Linked DNA regions of Astyanax mexicanus. The protein of the gene in region 1 interacts with the protein of each later gene in a pairwise test. Links are inferred from orthologs where the notes say so. Each region holds a gene or a part of one and is shown in the gene's direction. Other genes may lie near its edges.

What was found.
Region 2: the proteins of bag4 (region 1) and unkl interact in binary tests that used the Homo sapiens proteins (3 or more experiments, as listed by UniProt). The link is inferred for Astyanax mexicanus from reciprocal best matches to the Homo sapiens genes BAG4 and UNKL.

The regions. Positions count from the first base shown.
Region 1 is NC_064419.1:32,065,254-32,076,277, forward strand, and holds the start of bag4 (BAG family molecular chaperone regulator 4), read left to right. Parts: upstream 1-5,875; 5' UTR 5,876-6,241; coding exon 6,242-6,376; intron 6,377-7,790; coding exon 7,791-7,916; intron 7,917-8,189; coding exon 8,190-8,384; intron 8,385-8,553; coding exon 8,554-8,820; intron 8,821-10,649; coding exon 10,650-11,024. Other genes in the region: U6 snRNA-associated Sm-like protein LSm1, read right to left, coding at 2,793-2,963, 3,575-3,690, 4,176-4,244, 4,866-4,911. UniProt on the Homo sapiens protein: Inhibits the chaperone activity of HSP70/HSC70 by promoting substrate release. Prevents constitutive TNFRSF1A signaling. Negative regulator of PRKN translocation to damaged mitochondria.
Region 2 is NC_064410.1:59,945,071-59,955,410, forward strand, and holds the start of unkl (putative E3 ubiquitin-protein ligase UNKL), read left to right. Parts: upstream 1-6,198; 5' UTR 6,199-6,235; coding exon 6,236-6,300; intron 6,301-9,139; coding exon 9,140-9,349; intron 9,350-10,340. UniProt on the Homo sapiens protein: May participate in a protein complex showing an E3 ligase activity regulated by RAC1. Ubiquitination is directed towards itself and possibly other substrates, such as SMARCD2/BAF60b. Intrinsic E3 ligase activity has not been proven.

The DNA.
Region 1 (11,024 bases):
AGGATGATGATGATGAAGAAGAAGAAGGAGGAAAATAGCTAGAAAGCTAGCTCCGGCCCCCGCGGTGGATCCCAGCCTGGCTGACCGGCCTCGGAACGCTGCCCCCCGGCTGCAGGCGTGCTCCCTCTCCCGGCGGTGCCTCACCAACGCGCGGCTCACTCGCTCCGCTTCTCACATGCAGCATTCCCCGCGGCTCCCCGAGCGAATAATAAAGTGGCACACACCAGTCCGAACATACGAATGAAAGCTGCCAGCCGTCGGTGTGTGTGTAAGTGAGTGTGAATGTGTGTGTGTGTGTGTGTGTGTGTGTGTGTGGGCCTACAGCGGGGTTAGGGCATGTGGAGCGGTTGCCATGTTCTCCGCATTCAGTCCCGCTATGGGGAGGAGGGAATAATAATAATAATAAAAAGCGAAGCGCAGAACTGCACCCCCTGCTGGTTACCTTTAACAACTTCAACTGTTCCGCCATAGGGACATTTTGTATCACGTTTTAATGTCGATATAAGCTCGTGTTTTTGCCATGCCGTCGTTTAACAACATTGGACGCGCTTAAGCTACGATAACAGTACGATACCAAGACGTTTTACAATGCCGTTTTAACGGGACAGATTGAAATGTAAAAAACTACAAACCCCAGCGTACATGTCGTTGCGGATTGGTGGGATGGGCGTGCATGACGCCATCACGAGACAGAATTTGTAGTTCGATTTAACTGAACGGCCTGTTAACCCGTTCAGACCTAAATTGGCTCCAGTGGTGGAAAGAAATGTAAGAATGCTATTTCTGTCTGTAATGCACAGAAAAGAAGACTCTAAAATTTTACTATGAAATTTATACAGCAAATAAATCCAGTGAACTAAAATATTTAATCAGTTTATTTTTTATTTCCATTGCATTGTAGGCCTTTGTTAATATTTTGTTTCATATTGACCTTGTATGTAATAAACCACTCCTAAACAGTAAAAAAAAAGTTTAAAAAAATAAAAAATAGCGTAATTAAAGAAAAACTTAACTGTTACTTTGCCTCAATGGCTCTAGTTTTACATTTTTTTTCCAGTGCAGTGGGCGGGGCCAAGTTACTGTTTCATTGGTTTATAAACTTGTTCATTGGCTGGTTCATGGTCTATTCTAATGAACAACAGCTCTCAAATAGTTGTGTGTGCAACAAAACATTTAGAAATAAAGAAAATACATGATGTCTGTTGTAATGGATGCAGGGCCTGAAATGGTTAAGAAATGTTGAGTACTACAACACTGAATTAATAAACACCACAATAGAAAGTAATTGTTTAAAACAGTTGCTTTTAATATTTTAAATAGAAACGTAAAATATATTTAATTGTAGCCAAATAATTTATTGTAGCCAAATAAAATAAACAGAGCAATTTGTTATATTAAAATTGAGAGATTATAATGTAAGAATGTGTTTAGCTATGTGTCAATTTAAATTTGGACTATTGACACAGTCAAGCTGCCAAGTAGTGTTAATTTATATTTAGCATCACTGTTTCCTTTACTGGCACAGGCTGCATCTTGTTTTTTCTTGTTTGTAGCAGCCTGGTAGCATTTATTTTGTTTTTAAATTCACAGTATATATTTTTTGCACCACTAGTAGCTTTGCTATTAGTTTGCCACGTTCTCCCCTTCACTGTTCTAAATGTTGCACCTTACTATTAGGTCTGATACAGCTTTTTATTTTAATAGCTTTAGCATTACTTATTTTAAAAGAAAATCTCTCAGACTTTGGGACCCCAAAACCTGCATGCCCTCTGTAAAATTAAAACACCATGTGCTACAAAAATCACACACACAACTCTTCAGGTAGAAAGTTGCTGCTTTCACTGCCATAACACAGTATTTCATTTTACTGAACACCACAAGTAGATGCTGGTGGTAGCACTTCCAGAGAACATTTTAAGACCGTGTTGTTTATCACTATGTATCCTTAACAGTCCCAAAGTCTGTTTTGGTTTTGTTTAGGTGTATCTGCATAATGTATTTGTGATGGGGCATTTAAAGCCAGTAAACTAGTTTGATACGATTTCATTCACCACCACTGTGAACAAGATTAAGTTTGGTACATTTCTCTAAAACATAACTTGTTTTCAGTATTTGGCGACACCATAAGGCAAATGAGGGAATTACACAGACACTGCAAGCTAGCAAGTAACGCTGGAGAAGTACTTGAAAAGTCACAACATAAGTGTGGAATTGAATGCTTCTCTTAAAATATTCTCAACCCAACATCATACAATTATAGAAAAGGTTAGTTTTATATATTTTGTTTTCATGTAAACTGGCTCCCCTTAAGGTAAGTAAAGAACTGGAAAGGTGGTTAATAAAATGCAATCAGGCAAGAACAGACTGCATTTCACAAATCATTTGTCGCACAAAGGAAACCACTCAATATTATTCAGTACAAAATAGGTTTAATAGAACAAAAATATCTTCAGTGCTGTTTAGCGTGATTTAACATAGCATACCAACATAAACGCCACCATAACATCACCTCAACGACACAAACACTGAGTTTAAGGTTCCATTATTCTTCTCTACAAAGTTCAAAATAAAAGCCAGCAGGCCAAGTGCTTCCGTTTGGTCCATCTTCAGTTTCAATACGGCACCATCGGCCGTAAAGGAAAAGATGGTAATGGTCACGCAGAGCATGACTTACATAAAAACAAAAACGGTCATGATCACAGTCTTCTGTGATGCATTCATTGAAGGTCACGTGTGTAATACTCACTAAAACTGAAAACAAAACAAGCAAAAAAAATTAACCTAAAGGCGTCTCAGAAATCATCCAATGTGTCTGCTTTAGGGATGGACAAGCCTCGCTCCTTTACTGCCTGTAGTTTCCGCTTCTCAGACTCCTGCTTTGCCTGCTGCTCCACCCGCTGCTCCTCCAGAATTTCCTCAATGGAAACTCTCTGAAGGATCTGATCACATTCTTTATCTAGGTCCTACAGAGCAGACAATAAACAAATCCAAACAGGAGAGTGTAGGTTAAATTCCAATAAAACATGCTTCTTAAATTCCCCTCATTCATAACACATCTCAGCTCTCCTCCTTACCCGTCCAATAAAATAGTATTATTCTACATCATGTTTATTGCACCCAGATCATAGTTGTGGGGAAAAAAAAAAAAAAAAAAGTGCGCACAATGCAGCCACACTGATTTGGTCAGTCCACCGTATTAAAAGGTTAAAGGTAAGCTCAACCCCTGGTACCAAAATAATTCCCAAATTTCCCACAGCAGGGTGTTAATATTTAACATTAACAAGTTTCTCTTATTTACCTTTTACATTTTAAATTTCCATTGAGTCCATGACTAGAATTAATCCTTGGCCAGGTATTTGGCCCTTAATGCAGGTACTGTGTTACACACCAAGGTACTATTCACACTATAGCCCTTCATTAGGTTGACTGATATTTCCCCAGCATTCTCTAAAGCCTGTCAATCCTAGCAACAACAAACAAGGCTTATGTTTAATACCATGACTCATTTTGCTTAATCTTATTTTAATGGAAACATTTCCAGAAAGAAAAATAAACAAAAACTGTGTAAACTTACTACTTCTCCAAGTAAGACAACATTTTCTCCTCTGACAACAAAGATCCCTCGGGGTATGTCTCCAAACTTCTTACCAACGTGGATACGTTCCACTGTTTGATGCAAAACTAAATTTGCTGTTAAAGAGAACAGAGATCAAATATTAACAACCTGTTAATGAATAACATACAACTGACAAGGATGGGCAGAACAATACTGATGCAAATAAACTTCAAATACTGACCGTGCTGCTAATGCAGTGAGATCATTTGTTATTCGGTAGTTAGCACCATGGCTTTATATTCTATGCACCCTCAAGCAGTTTTAAAATAGATGTACCATATAATATAGATCAGTGCATCCATGCTAAAGGCAGGTTACCACTTCATTGTGAAAGGGCATCGAATAAAAGTGAAGCATGGAACAACTTAAACGATGTCCAACTACTGCCAAGCACACCTAACGCCTCTTAATCCAACTCTGAGGAACTTTAGTAAGCTCATTTTAATGGGTGTCAGTTCAGTGGGAAACACTGGTGTACATATAAATATATTATACTGATCATACTGAGTGGTTCACTTGGATCTGTTATTTTACTTCACTGAACACTGGATCTACTTACCAAACTGATCTATACTTCTGAGGATCCCAATCAGTGTTCTCCCATCTCTGAGCAGAACAAGGTGCTTTTCTGGAAGAAAAACAAAAACAGATCAGACAGACAGAAAGCTTATTTGCTTAAAAGACATTTATACAGTTTCATGCAACAACAAAACTGGCAAAATAAGTCACACAAAACAGCCTTCCTTGGATTTGTTATGTCATCCTAAGAATTCATAAAGAGCTAGTTCAATGTTCGCCAGCTCCAGCTGTGTTATATTTAACTTTTAGCATTTTAGCAAGTCTATAAAGGTTTAATTTGCAAGTACTTAAGTGGTTGTAGTTGTTAGCGATCTAGCTAGCTATCTAATGGCCCAAACCCTGAAGACCACCTCCAGGTTCATCTTGGGAGGAATGAGGTGTAGAGAAAAAAAATACAATATGTATAAATTGTACACAGTTCGTGGTCAGAAACGCAAGATTAAACACACTTAGATTATCTTTAGCAGTAAGAAAGTTTAAGATAGCTAATTGCTTTAAATTTCCACTCCACCTTAAATAGGGCAGCAGGTACATTACTGTGCTAGCTGGACTCAGAATATAATCACTGCACCATTTAAGGTGGACCGAACAATTCCAATTACAACGCAGCTATTTGGAGTTCCAGCGGCTTTAGGCTGGGTAGTAAAGCCCAGCGGAGCTTTTAACTTACTGTCGATGTCCTCAATGAGGCTGGCGGTGCCTGGCATGTAATTCATCCTGCAGACATGCGGGGAGTTTAAAGCACAAAAAACCTAGAGACAGTGTGATATCAAACCTCCTGGCACCCAAACTAACTACAGCAGCAGCGCTCTTATAGCACAGCTTCCGGGGCACGCTCACCCCTTTAAAGGGCCCACTCGCATTTTATAAAACAAATCTTTTTACAAAAGATATGTTTTATATTCGTTTTTGAGATTTTTTTTGCAGTTTTATTTATATGTAATGTTAATTTAAACGCACCATGCATTTTTTTTTATCATTTATCTATAAGCTTAATAATTATTTTAATTATTATGCTTTTATTTTGTAGTGCTTTCTTCCCACGTATTTATTTATTAGAGATTTTATCTGTTATTTCCTTTGTAACTGTTATTTATTTATTTATTTATGTTCATTTACTATGTTTGTGATCTATTTCTGTTTAATCCTTTAGCTGTATTTTACATTTTGCTTCACTCCAACTGATTTGGAAGCTACCGTCTCAAGAACAAGGTTGTCAAAATACAGTAACTTTAACAATTAAATGTTGAATCAGAGCTTATGACAGAAATTATAGTTACAGATAAAAAATAAACAAACTAATTTTGATTTTACAAAATCATAATCATACATAAAATAAGATATCGTTTACTTTATAATATAGAACTCTCTAAAAAAAAAGAGTATCAATATATTTTGTATTTCAAATTTATAAATACATTTTGTACCCCTGACAAGGCACAGAAACATCTTAACATCTAAACATATCTCGAAATATCACGGAATAACAAATATATAATTTTAAGTATGTCATTTATCCTTGGGATTTGTATTATTTATGCAGAAAATATATTTTACAATATTTTATCCAATTAATTTTTTCAAAAGCAAAGAGTTATATTATATTTTTAATGCTTCGATTCGATTGATTAAAATACATATAAAGCAACGTACATTGTAACCCAGCTTGTGATTGGCTAGCTCGTTTTTGTGCACATTGTGATTGGCTAGATATTCCTGTCCCTATTTGTGATTGGCTGCTTGCTTTTTTCTGTGACAGTCAGCAGCACTTTGCTGTTATGCGTGAATATGTTTAATTAATTGAACTGTAGAGCTAAAGAAGGATATCAGTAACGCGCTTTTACAATAATTTTTGCCATAAAAAATATATATATGAATACGTTATAAGATTTAAATAAATATTTAATTGCTCAGGTCAGGCTACAGCACCGCGCAGATTCAGTCACACTGCAGCTACACCCGACACGATGGCGAGAATGATGGGTTAATGAATTAGTAATAATAAAAATAATCATATTAATACCAATAACGTGCTGTTAGCAGTGGATGGCCTACGACTCAGCCGGAGCGGAGAGAAGCGGGGAGGCGGCGTGGCTACTGCAACAGCAGCGGCACATGCAGCAGCCGAAAGCGGGCTGGAGCCCCGGGTACAACCCGGAGAGCAGCTGGAGCGGAGCGATGGTAAGAACCGGGGCTAGGCTAGGCTAAGCTAAGCTAAGCTAAACTACGCTAAGCTAAGCTGTGTTTGACACCAGTGTATCATTCATACAGAAGCAGCTTAACGTTTTATTTACATTTAATACAAATGCATCTTAATAATACACGGTTTTAATTCACTTTGTGTAAAAGTTTACGCAGCTGACTTTGAGCAAACTGTGCCGTCCTATTCAATTAGCTTTAGCATAGCATCTCTTACCAGCTATTGCCAGCACTTCAGTTACTAACCTTCACTTAAACTGTAGTAGCGTTGACATGTTAACCTAGTGTGTTTTCTATGTAGTTAGCTAGCTCACATAAATATACAACCCTGATTTACTTTGCAGAGAGATGTTCGTTTTATTGCCTAAGTTTGTAGTTTAGTTGAATAAGTTATCAGACCGGCCATTGCTGGCTTTGGTCAGCAAGTTGGTTATCTAGAGAAACAGGACTTATTGCGTAAAATTAGGTGGCCTTTATACAAGCAGTTAGCTATAGCTAGGTTTGCTAGTGTGTTTGGGTTGTTAATAAAAGTTGGATATCCTAAATTATCCCATTTTCTGCATAGCAGCGATATAATACTGTCAGAATTTACCAAATGTATCCCTACACTACTGGTAAAGTTGTAACCTAAGTGCACCTTATCTTCAGTGTTGGAGAACCAAAGCTTCCTGAGTGCTTCTGTTCTGTACTGAAATAATGCCTTTCAGATCTGATACCTATTTTTATTTCTATACAGTTAGCATAAAGAAACCTTTACTATGTCGGCTTCGTTGTTTTTTAATTGATTAAAACAGTCACACTTAAAATAAATTTCAATTCTTTACAGCAAATGTTGTCATAGAGCAGCTCTGCAGAGATCTGGGTCCAAAAGTGACTGCAGAATGAGTGGTCAAATAGTACTTTATTATTTCAATTTGTGCTTATTGTAAAAACAGGTCATGTATTATAAAAATCTGAGTAACTGCAGAACACATGCTAAATATTAGTACTGATGAAAGTGGTGTCCATAAGTCCTTAAAGGCTGAACAGTCCCATGCTGTCATGCAGAATCATCCTGCTGTGAAAGAATAATAGCCAGGGTTTAAAAGCAAAAAACAGGGAAAAGAGATAGCAGGAACAAAAATAACATCATAACAAACAAAGGAAAATTCGCAGAATATGGGAAATTGCCATGCAAGTAGTGGCATCAGCCTTAATGATGTACCAACATTGAGGAGAAAACAAGAGGCAGCTTATAATATGGGCTAGAGAAGGATAAACATATGTACAGTTAATGTAAAAGTAATGTTACAAAATAATTTGTATTATTTCTTCAATTCAGCCATATGGTGAACCACTAATATAGTGGTGACAACTACTATAGGACTAACATCATGTAATTTCTGCTTTACGGCAGGACTCTAATCCATATTGTGGCTATCCACCAAACTACTGGTACCCTCATTCGCATACTGCTGGACCGTATAGTAACACATACCCCTCTGGAGCAGAGGTCAATGGACAAGCACCGTACAATCCCCAGGTACAGTACCACATCTTCCTTCTTGTCTTAACACAGTGCTTAAAGTTTTTTTGCAGATTCACACTGGATAAAAAAAAATACACTGACTAATGCACTGATTAATACTGACATAAAATCATGCTACAATTATTGCCTTCATACTGTTAAAATTACACAGACTGCAGATTCATAGTAGATTAATTGTATTAGAGTAATACTAATTATATTAGAGTATTAAAGGTGTTTGGTATATATACTTTTTATGAAAATCAAACTGCTGTGCCTTTATTTCAGGCAATGTCAGGCTATCCCAATGGGGTGTACAATCCAGGACAGTACTCAGCCAATATGATGCACCCATCCAATCCGTTCTACTGCAGTGAGCAGATTCCTCCACGGCAACCACCTCAGTATCATAATCAGGGCTGCGCTGATCGGCCCGCGGGGAATTCTACTCAGCCTCCCTATGCTGTACCGCATTGCCAAGGGGTAGGTGATGATCCACTATTTAACCTTTTATGTTTGCTCATGTTTTTAGTGGTATCATTCGTTATATCGTATAGTAAAGGTCACAGCTTTTGATATGACTGGCCAGCTAAACACATACGTTTTTAAGGTTTAATAGTACAGCCTCTGTTCTTGTTCACTGTTCTTGCAGGGTCCTGGATATCCCCCTAATTCGTACCCACACTATGGAGATGGATGCCCCTCCAACCCTGGGTATCCCACCCAGCAGGCCATGCACTCAAGGCCCCAGCCTGAAGCCTGGCCCCATTCAGGCGGATATGGGCCAACACAGCCTCAACAGCAGTGGCAGCCTGGCACCCAGCCAGCTCACGGGCCATACGCTAACCATGCTAACCACGTCCGACCTCCACATCCTCCACCCTGGCAGGGGCCTGCGCCACCTCCATATGAACATAAGGTATCCAAGCTGTCTGTACATTAACTCGTCATTTTATAGCATTGATGGTCAGCAAAGAGTGGGTTTAGGTTCAGTTCTGGTCTGTGTGTCAAACTGACTAAAATCAGGCTCACAAATGTGAATTTTCTGAACCACAGAATGGAACTGTAGTATTGGAATGTATGTTTACTTGTGTGTTTGTGTCTCTGGTGCTTTTTTGTGAGCAACCATGATTTTTATGTTTAGCTTCTATTCTTGTTGCTTTACAGTAGTATCTTTAGGCTAGTTTGTTTCAAAGCTGTTTTGTTGTTTTGTATAGTAGGTGGTTGCTAAGGTGATGCTCAGTAGTTGTTTCGAAGGGTGGAGTTATGGCATCACAGATTGCTTCCAAGGGTGTTGCTACCATTTTTTTTACTGCTGTATGAAATAAGATGAACAAAGATTTTAATCTTGTTGCATGCACTGTGTTGTTTACCTTAGTTTTTTACAGATGTTATATGTTTTATTGATATGTTGTTTTATTTAATCAGGGAAAGGATAAAACACAAATGATTTGTCACCTCTATTTCTATTTTTCTGTTTTTGGTCAGACTGAGGGTTTCTAGAAATGATAAAGTGATGAATGTTGTGTTTCGAAATATCATCTTCATTAAAAGGAGGAAGAGTATAACTTTGCTAAACAGGGTTAAATAACTATTGAACATGTTACTGCTTCGGTTACCAAATATAGGTGCAAGCAGTGGTCACTTAAAACTGTTTTAAGTCAGAAAAATATAGTCAATTCATAAATAAAGGTACAATCATCACTTCAATACGTGTATCACCACAGTTAGGCCTAATTGCATGCTTTCCTCAAGACCATAAACTCCAACACACATGTTCTACACATCTAAACGTGTGGGCTAGCCAAAGATATCTTAGGTCAGATGAGGTGCTGTACTCAAGCAGAGAGTTCAGTACACAGTCTTTCAAGCCTTTCAAGTCCTTCTGTTTCTCTCTCACACACACACACGCGCACACACACAGGAATAGCTTAAAGGAACTCCAGCTTAAAGAAAGCACAGTCCATCTGACCCTCAGTGACACTGTAGTGTCCTAAAGCTGGTTATGTAATAGAACTCAGCTCTCCTATTGTAAAGCTTTACACTCTGATACTTAAAAGAAAGTCAACTGCAAATCAGTAAAAGTTAATACAGTGAGGGAGGAAAATGCACAAAAATAACTTAAAATGGAGAGTTTCTTACTTTTACAATTATTTAATTGCAAACTATATTAACCAAAGAGATTCCATGTATTGTTTGCTCAACTCAGTTTGCTTTGTTAATATACATCTATCCCTGCATTTCAGGCCTGCCATACATTTCAAAAAAGTTCAAACAGGTGTCATCAAATATCAATGATCCTTTATTGAAACATAGGCACTCTAAACTCTTTAAGACTTCCCCCTCAATTTGACTTACAAAAGTTACTTCTTTATTACTCCACATGATGGCGCTAATGAAATGAATAGGGTAAACCTGCACTGAAGAATATTGGTTGTTAAATTCTTTAAAACTGGCACCAATAAATATATTATTACTGGTATTTTATCCTGTTCAGTAACACAGTTACAACTTATTGCATAATGAATTATTCAGAAATAGTATAGTAGTATAGTCACCTAAAATGCAAAGATAAATCACAGTACCACCCCTAAAAATAAAAATAAATGATATATTCATCTCTGCCCACGTTAATTACATTTATTCTTGTTCATATATTTAGTATTAAAAAGTCATTGATATTTAAACAGTGCTCAGTAAAACATTTAAATAAAAAAGAATAAATGTTGTCTTCTCAAATTTACCCAGGAACCTCCATATCCCGGTCCGCCAGTGCATCCTCGAAACCAGGCTTCGGGCCCCAAACCTCGACCCAACACCCCAAACCCGAACCCGGGCCAGCCCAAACCTTCTGAGTACAGCGCCCCTCCTCAGATCTACAACAGAGCAGCCTCTGGTGGCGGAGGCGTGAAAGGCGGCCCAGAACCCAAACCAGCGCCGAATGACCCGCCTCCAGCAAGCTCTACCCCTACGACGATCCCCTTCAGCGATAACCCCAGCCTGGCTCGAGTCCAGCAGGTCCTGGCCAGAGTCCAGCTGCTCGAAGAGGACGTGGATGAGTTTGTTGGCAAAAAGACGGACAGAAGCTACCGCTGCCTGGAGGAGCTGCTGACCAAAGAGCTG
Region 2 (10,340 bases), on another chromosome or scaffold:
ACATAGTTCAAAAAAAAAAAAAACATAACTCACATTTGGGATGCTCAAAATGGTATCGAGGAGAAAAAAAACTATAATTGTTCTTTAGATTTATTTATTTATTTATTTTTTACTAAAGAAAGGAGATAAAGACATAAAAACAGAGTTAGCACATAAAATCAGGCTTTAACAATGCATCTAAAAATCCCAAATATGACTGGAGACATGCTTAAAAAAGGTCATGTAAGTCTAAAATGCCCAGAAAGTAAACGTTTATTCGATGACCATACAAGTTTTTTTTTATTTCTGTACCCTATTTATTTCTATAACTATGCTGATTATTATCAGTGGACTTTTTGGCGGTCTGTTTGGAATGGGCCACAGTTCTTTAGACAGATTCATGGATTATTACTGCAGCCATGGTGACAAATTGACTAAAAAATGGGGTATACTATAATCAGACCCCTTTGAAAAAATAGATATGACTGGAAATGCATGCTTAAATGGCTATTTTTTTTTTACTTTAAAGTAAAAATCCATTCAAGGATTTTTAACATTTCTGGACATAAAACTGCAGAAATCAGAAAACTACAAAAAAAAAGCAAGGTTATACTAAAATCAGGCGTTTAAAATGCATCTAAAATCCCAAACGTGCAAATTTAAACATTCTCAGCTTCATGTTGTCAGACAGGTTCTATTATCAAAGTGATTTGATGATTCTACAGGTCTGTCAGTAATCAGGTCTGGTTGTGGTTAGTAGTGAAATTGAACTCAGTTTTCCAAAAAGTGTGATTAATCACAGTCACTTTAATAGGCATTGGATTGTTTTTGCCCTTTATTAAATTAAATCATCATTTAAAAAGTGCTTTTTATATTTACTCAGGTTATATTTGACTGATATTAAAGTTTGTTTGATAATCAGAAAATGTAATTATGCAAAAAGAAAAGAAATTTGGAAGGGGCTAAACACAGCACTTTTTTACAGCACTGTAGATTCCATGGCACTTTAGGTGGTTTCCGGTTAAGAGTGTGCTGTGTGCAATTGGCTGCTGTTTCTTGTCATGGTTTGATGGTTGACTGCTGAGTGTAAATTACTGTGTAGATGTCTGTGTTGCAAAGCAGTGATTAGGTGTTTAGAAAGACGCTACAAAAGTGGGACTTCATCGTCATCTATAAACATCAGTGTGCAGCAATTACAGTTTGCAGTGTTAACTCTGCAACGACTTCCAGAGTTTTGTTAAAGCACAGTGTGACTTGTTAACCCTTGTGTGGTGTTCGGGTCTGTGGGTCCCGTTTTCATTTTTCATCAAATGATACTAAAAAAATATTTTTTCTAACTCAAACTCATTGGCATTGTCTAATTTTTGGTGAAAAACATATATCAAAACACATTTTCCATAAACACACACTGTACACCCCCCCCCCCCCACACACACATTTATATTACATACAGTATGTTTGGCCAAGGGCTAATAAACTTTGCTTCATTTGTAAATTTGAAACTAAACAAATTTTCTACTCATATCTTGAGTTTAATTCATGTTCTTTTACATTTTATTAAAAAACTAATAAAAAAAGAGTAGCACTTTTTAAAAGAAATGTAACATAAGAAAGGTAAAGGGCAAATATTAACCATGTAAGCTGTTTATATTGCTTGCAATTTAGGTGAAGCGAGCATGTGTAAAGCATTTTAATGTAGAATTGCTTAATTTTGCTGAATTAAATACAAGAAACAAAGTAAACGAGTAACAAAAATATGAACACCACACAAGGGTTAAAGTGAGACAATAATAAAGTAATGTAACCCTTGCTACTAACACTGTAAAGAGAAAAAATGAGAAACTGTAAACTTTAATCACCCCCATCACTATTGCACTATTGTCTTCTGTCTCACGTATGTCTATCTGTGTCCCTGTTGTATTGTGCATATAGTGTCCTCCATTCTTTTTATATTTATAATCTTATTTTCTGTACTTCTGTACTAATTTTTGGGAAGGGGGGTAACGTAATTGTAATTCTCTGTATGTCCTGTACATATGCAGTTTTGACAATAAAACTATTTGACTTGACTTGACAGAGATTAGAGTCAGATTTATATTGAGAGGTGGTTAACTGTATGAGCTATCTAAGAAATAAATTGATTACAGAGAGAAAGAGAGAAATATAAAGTCCCTTCCCAGAACTATTAGAACAGTGAGGCCAATCCCTTTATTTCTGCTGTGGACTGAAAACATTTGAATTTGACATTAAAAGATGGATATAAGACAAGAGATCAACATTTCAGTTTTTATTCTAGTAGGATAGCACCTTAATAAACAGCCAGGAACAAAAAAAGTACACAGTTTCACTTGGTCTACCTGTTTGGTATCTGTTATTTAGTACACCAGTGATGACTTTCTTCTTCAAGTCATTCCAAACAGTTGTTACAAGCCATGGCCAATAAAGATAAAAACTAAAAGGTTTTTTTTTTGTTAATCTTTTTTAATGTCAAATTGAAATATTTTCAGTCTACAGCAGAAATAATTAAATTAACCTCACTGTTCCAATACTTTGGAAGGGACTATAAATGTAAAGTTCATTAAAAATTGTGGATGAAAAAATATCCAAAGCAAACATATTGTTTGGAAAAATCTGTAGAAATGGCAGAAATCAGAAGCTCTGGGAATGAAATTTCATATCATTATCTACACATTGTATTTTACTAGTAAAAAGGTCCAAATTGAGACGTACAACTCCAACAATTTCAGATATTTACACAATTTTGCATTTCATGGCAGCTGTTATGCTATTTTTTAATCTGATGTTACTAAAAATATTTGTGTTTAAAATTGTGTGTTCAATTCCATCAGCAGCACACCTAATTTACCCTCATTAAGCTCTGTTTTACCAAACCAGCTGCTGATATGATCTGAACTATAGACAATACTTGACTCCATTATGGGATTTATTTTAATGAAGTGTAAAATCAATACTTTTTGTTCATTGTATTTGTATTTTTTAATATTACTGTTTATCTAAGTAAATTAACACTTACTACCCAGATTCATTATAATTTTGATTAATTAAATTCTCTGATTTTGCTATTTATAGGTTTATGTTTGAGTAAAATGAACATTGTTGTTTTATTCTATAAACTACAGACAACAGACAACAAATATTTAAGTCATTTAGAGCATTTATTTGCAGAGCTTTCAGACCTCAAATAATGCAAAGAAAACAAGTTCATATTCATAAAGTTTTAAGAGTTCAGAAATCAATATTTAGTGGAATAACCCTGGTGCTTTTTAATCACAGTTTTTGTTTTTATGCATCTTGGCATCATGTTCTCCTCCACCAGTCTTACACACTGCTTTTGGATACTTTTATGCTGCTTTACTCCTGGTGCAAAAATTCAAGCAGTTCAGTTTGGTGGTTTGATGGCTTGTGATCATCCATCTTCCTCTTGATTATATTCCAGAGGTTTTTAATTTGGTAAATCAAAGAAACTCATCATTTTTAAGTGCTCTCTTATTTTTGTTCTGAGCTGTGTTAATCAAGTGTTTTTAAGCAATTTACAGAACTTTGGCTGGAATGTTGGATTTCAATAGGGCTGTTCAGTAGATAGTCCATTTACTTTTTTTTAAACAGTGCACACACATTCACACGTGTTTTGCATATTGATTGCTGTTCTACTCTTATTTTCTTACACCTACTTGAGGCAAATAGGGGCATTATTATCACATTATCATTTTGATAGGTTTGCAATACACATGCATTGAAATACAAATGAGGGAAAGCAAAAACACAAACCCCGAAGATCGGAATACATGATAGTTTGGACAAACCTCTTCTCATTCAATGTGTTTTCTTTCTTTTTATGATTTTTTACATTGTAAATTTAATATTAAAGACTATATTAAAACTCTACAGGAACACATGCTGAATTATTTTCAATAATAAACCAGAAAATGTTTTATATTTTAGATTCTTCTAACATTATTCTTTGAGGACAGATCTGCAGACTCTTGGTGAGATTTTAATCTCAGTGTCTTCATGATTTAGAGTCACCTGGAATAGTTTTCTCAGCGTCTTGAAGGAAGGAGTTTCTGGAGGTGCTGAACAATAGTTGCTGCTTTTCCTTCATGCTGTGAAGCTCCAGCTCATCCCAATTAATCATCTCAAATCACCATCTCAGTTCATCAGGTTTAGATCAGGGGATTAATGTGGTGGAATAACACTTTTTTACTGTTTACTACATAATACCATATATGTCCCTTAATGTAGAAAATAAATAAAGTGAATAAACAAATAAAGAAGGTGTGTCCATATTATTGCCGTTATTCACCTGTCAGACATTTAATTCTTCTCTTCCCTGCTAACACTCAGACTTAGTCCAATCATGTTAATCTAAGCTAAAGGCTAAAGCTGTTTCCATGTGGGTCAGCCAGACGTCTTCCTGTAGCAGTTACAAACAAAAAGCTTTTATTACTACTAGAAGAAGCAAAAAGTAGAGTGTTAACAATAAACTGACTATAAAGAAATTTATACCCACCACTACCAGTCTGATTACTGAACATCTGATCTCAGAAACACTACAACAGTAAAACATGAACATGGTGTTAAATTAAAAAGCAGTAACTGCAAATAGAAGTAAAACACCTTTTCATTCCCCCATCCAATCGATTTATGAAATTGTATGGTAATTATGTTGATTCAACGTTAAAACATTGTTATATCAACATAATGTTGAAACATTGAAACAATAACAGACACATATATACCACAGGTAATTATGTGTAAATATATATTTACTAATATATGTATATATATATATATATATATATATATATATATATATATATATATATACATATATTAGTAAATATATATTTACACATAATTACCTGTGGTATATATGTGTCTGTTATTGTTTCATATATATATATATATATATATATATATATATATATATATATATATATACATGTATTAGTAAAAATGTTTCCTTCAGTTTTAGCTCATTGTTTTCCCTAAAAGCCCAGTTTAGTGACAAATGTTGTACACTGTATTTTGTACCATTTCATAACTGTACCTAATGAGCTTAAATGACAAAAAATAGGGAAATATATGTATATATGTAATGTGTATTTGCATATATGTATATACACACTACTGGTCAAGAGGTTTACAACTTCCACATTTTTTCCATTTTTATTTGTGTGTGGCTGGTTGCCTACTGTCAGCAATTAATAGGAGGTTTGTCGTTTATTGTTACATTACTCCATGTTTGTAACATCAATCTACAATGTGGAGAATATATTAATAAATTAAACAAAGACATAAAAATGACTTGGGGAAAAATAATGTGGCTTTTTTACTAAAGAAAAACATACTTTTGCTATGTGGGTATATAAATGGGTATATAAATATCCTTGAAAAGCTGCTTTATTTCAGTAATTCAGTTCAAAATGTAAAACTCGTATATTATATAGATGTATTACACACACAGAGTGATCTATTTTAAGCAGTTATTTGTTTTATTGTTGATGATGATGGCTTACAGCCAATGAAAATGCAAAAATCAGTGTCTAAGAAATTTGAATATTATATAAGACCAATTAGGGAGTGGGAGTGTGCCAAGTCCTGCTGGAAAAGAAAATCTCCTAATCTCTGCATCTCCATAAAAGTTGTCACTGCACTGACTTGGGACGAACTTGATAATAAAACACGGTGGACCAACACCAGCTGATGACATGGCTTTCCAAACCATCACTGACTGTGGAAACTTGTGGAAAACTGCCTCTCCTCTCTTCCTCCAGACTCTGCTCCCTTGATTTTTTCCAAATTAAATTCCAGTAAAATTTACTGATGATCAGTGATGGTTTGGAGAGACATGTCATCTGCTGGTGTTGATCCACTGTGTTTTATTATCAAGTCTAAAGTCAGTGCAGTTTTGTTTTCCCACAAAATCTTACAGCACTTCATGCTTCCCTCTGCTACTGACATGGAGATGCGAATTTCGTTTTCCAGCAGGACTTGGCACACTGGTCATGTTACGTAAATATTCACATTTTGAATTAAATTAGTGAAATAAAGTAACTTTTGAATGATGTTCAACTTTTTTGAGATGCACTAGTATAAGTGAGTGTGTATAAGTGTTAGTGCTCCACGCTGCTGCTGGTGTTTATTCGTGAGTCCCGCCACTTGCTGATATTGGCCAGTCAGCGGCGCGCGAGAGCGGGCCTGTGCGCATGCGCGTTTATTGTTTTGACTGAAAATGCCGTCGGTTTCGAAAACGGCGGCGAGCGCTTCTCCACAAACCGAGAAACCGACCCACTATACGTGAGTACCGCGGGGCTGCCTGGGCGGGAATGGGGTTCCGGGGCCGGGGGGCTTGTGCAGATCCCCCGGCCGTGCGGAGGGGCTGTGAGCGCGGGGTTTATCCGCTCCTCAGCGCTGTTAAACATGGGGCTTTAGGAGATTCCTCCAGTACACGCAGCTCCGCCGCGGGGAGGGAAAACAGCGCGCCGTGTTATTAAACACGGGCTCTCCGCCTTTAACCGCGGGTTTATCTGCTGATTTAAAGCCTGAAACGCGCTGCGAGCTGCGGGTTAAAGCCTGAGCCTGGCCGCGGAGACCCGGGCTCACTGTTCAGGCTGCAGAAGACACGCAGAGACACAGAGCGCCAGGCGGCAGCCAGCCCTCCTTCCTCCGCCTCGGCCTGAATAGCTGCCACTACGCTGCTTGCGTAGCGTAGCGCCCGGTTGGCTGAGTAGGGTAGGCGTCGGAGATCGTGCGTAAGTGCTGTCGGTAATCGCGGCGCTTGGCGTAAGCTGGAGCTACAGTTTGTTTTGTTATTCAGCTGCTCGTGTTGAGTTGTTTGGAGAGCGTGGGCTATTCTGAGTTAATTTTGCTACTTAAATCCAGTTAAATGAGTTAAACGAGTTAACTGCTCGCTGTTTATGAGTTTTATAAGTTGTTTAGCCATAACTAACATGTTTCTGCATATTATGAAGGATTGTGGTCGTGATTTTGTTATTCAGCTGCTTGTGTTGTTGTTCAAATAGTTTGGACAGGTCTGAGTTTATGTCTCTAGTTAAATGAGTTAAACGAGTTAACTAGTTGCTGTTTTTAAGTTGTTTTAGTTGTGTGAGTTGTGAGTTATTTCTGCACCTTTGAAGGGGTTTCAACCAGCGTGCGTTTGTTTTGTTATTCAGCTGCTTATAGACTCGACGAGTTTGAGTTATGCATCTAGTTAAATGAGTTAAAAGACTTAACTGTTCGATATTTATTAGTTGTTTGAGTTGATAATGACCATAACAAACCTACTTCTGCATATTTTTTTTTTAACCAACGTGCGTTTGTTTGGTTGTTCAGGTGCTCATAGTCTGGGATTGTTTGAGTTTATGCATGTAATTAAGTGAGTTAAATGAGTTAACTGGTCGCTGTAAATGAGTTGTATGAGTTGTTAATTGCCATACCTGACCTATTCCTGCACATTTGGAAGGATTTTGAACCAGTGTTCGTTTGTTTTGTTTTTCAGCTATTCATAGTCTGGACTAGTTTGAGTTATGCATCTAGTTAAATGAGTTAAAAGACTTAACTGTTCGATATTTATTAGTTGTTTGAGTTGATAATGACCATAACAAACCTACTTCTGCATATTTTTTTTTTAACCAACGTGCGTTTGTTTGGTTGTTCAGGTGCTCATAGTCTGGGATTGTTTGAGTTTATGCATGTAATTAAGTGAGTTAAATGAGTTAACTGGTCGCTGTAAATGAGTTGTATGAGTTGTTAATTGCCATACCTGACCTATTCCTGCACATTTGGAAGGATTTTGAACCAGTGTTCGTTTGTTTTGTTTTTCAGCTATTCATAGTCTGGACTAGTTTGAGTTTATGCATCTAGTTAAATTAGTTAAACTAGTTAACTAATTGCTGTTTGAGTTTTATTATTTGTGTATGGCCATAACTAACTTAACCTATTTCTGATCCAGATTTTGTTATTCAGCTGCTAGTTAAACGAGGTAACTTGTCCTGTTTGAGTTATTTATTGCCATAACTGACCTATTTCTGCATATTGGATAGAGTTTTAAGCCAGCATGCGTTTGTTCAGCTGCTCATAGTCTAGACTAGTTTGAGTTATGTATCCATAACCTACCTATTTTTGCATATTCTAAAGGATATTGATCCAGATTTTGTTATTCACATGCTTATGTTGAGTTGTTTGAATAGTCTGGATTAGACTGAGTTTATGTCTCTAGTTAAACGAGTTAACTAGTTGTTGTGTGTGAGTTTTTTAATTTATTTCCATAACTAACCTATTTCTGCACATTTTAAAGCGTTTTAAATCAGTGTGCATTTGTTTTGGTATTTATCTGCTCATAGTCTGGACTAGTTTGAGGTTAGGCATCTAGTTAAATGAGTTAAACGAGTCAAGAAGCCACTATTTTTGAGTTAAAGGAGTTTTGCATGGCCATAATAACCTATGTCTACATACTTGGAAAGATTGTGATTTTGATACCAGTGTCCAGGTTTAAATGTTGTTTTCTATTCAGCTGCTCATGTTAGTTAAATAGTCTGGACTAGTTTGAGTTTGTGTATCCAGTTAAACGAGTTAAAAAAGTGAACTAGTCACTGTTTCAGTTTGTGAATTTTACGAGTTGCATATAAATAAATATAAATAAATAAATAAATGGATAATTAGCTGGGTAGCTAAATAAGTAAACAAATGGATAAGTAATTCACTAGGTGTCTAAATAACTAAATAAATAACTAAATAAAACAAATAAGTAAGTAGATAGATAATTTGCTACTTATCTAGCTACTTCTTTATTTATTTATTTAGCTAGCTAAATAAATAAATAAAGAAGTAGCTAGATAAGTAGCTAGCTAGCTGAATGAAAATAAAATATGGATAATTAGCTGGCCAAGTATTATTAGCTAGCTAAATAAATGGACCATTAGCTAGCCTAATAAATAGATGGAATATTAGCTAGCTAAATAAATAAATAGATAGATAATCATCTAGATAGCTTAATAAATAAAACAATTTATATTTAGCTTACTAGCTAAATAAAAATAAATGGATAAGTAGATAAATAAATTATCTAGCTACTGTATATCAATACATGTTTTGATGTTGTGTAGTTTAACCCTCTGACTGTTTCCTCTATTGGCAGATATTTGAAGGAATTCAGGACCGAGCAGTGCCCGCTGTTTCTGCAGCACAAATGCACGCAGCATAGACCCTTTACCTGCTTTCACTGGCATTTCCTCAACCAGCGGAGACGGAGACCCATCAGGAGGCGAGATGGGACGTTCAACTACAGCCCGGACGTGTACTGCACCAAATACGATGAAACCACGGGCATATGTCCTGATGGAGACGAGTGAGTCACTTTAAATCGCTTTATTATTATTATTATTGTTCTAGCTACTTTATATACAGAGATACCTGTATATAGACTGTGTCAGTTAAATACTCAGTCAGCAGTGATGCTGACTGGCCACCAATTGAGAGTTTATCTATGCACAGTCAGTGAGGTACCACATAACTATCTACTCATATGAGTATTGGTGCACTTGTTGCACACATGTATGCATGCATTCATACATATGCGCAACAAGTGCACCAATACTAATACAGTAGCTAGTTTCGTGGTACAATGTGCATGCAGAAATTGGTTTGTACATATGTGCACTTGTTGCACATATGTATGAATGCATGCACATTTTTGTGCACTTCAAATGTTTTAAGCTATGCATGTGCAAGATGTGCCAATATCTTTAGCTTTTTCATTATTTAAAATATTCCCTGCACCAACAAAGTGCATCCGTACTATAAGTAATGTAAAAAAAAAAGAATTCAACGTTGAGCTGTTACCATCTTTTGTAGACTGGAAATGTTTTAAAGCCGCAGTTGCACGCGTAATGCAAGTAAAATTAGATTTGCTTGCTGGATTTTTTTTAAAGCTGTGCATGCACCTGTGGTATTTTATTTTATTTTTAAATCTTTGCCTTTTAGTCGTTCAAATAATTCCGAACCAACAAAAGAGCATCATTTCTGTAACTCATGCGAACATAGCACTGGCAACACATCCTTATATTTTGCAAATCTGCAGGTTTTATATGCACACATGCAGGGAATTTATTATTTATTTATTTAATTTTTTTTTTTTTGTCACTTAAAAAGATTCTTGCACAAACTGATGCAAAAAAGTGTACTGGAAATGTTATAAAGCCATAATAAAGTACCAACAAAGCGACAAATTCTTTAACTAAAGCTAAATATTAATATATTAAAAGCATGCAATGAAAATCAATCAATCAACCTTTATTTTCACTCATAATACATTAAGGGAGACTGAGCAGTGCAGTTTA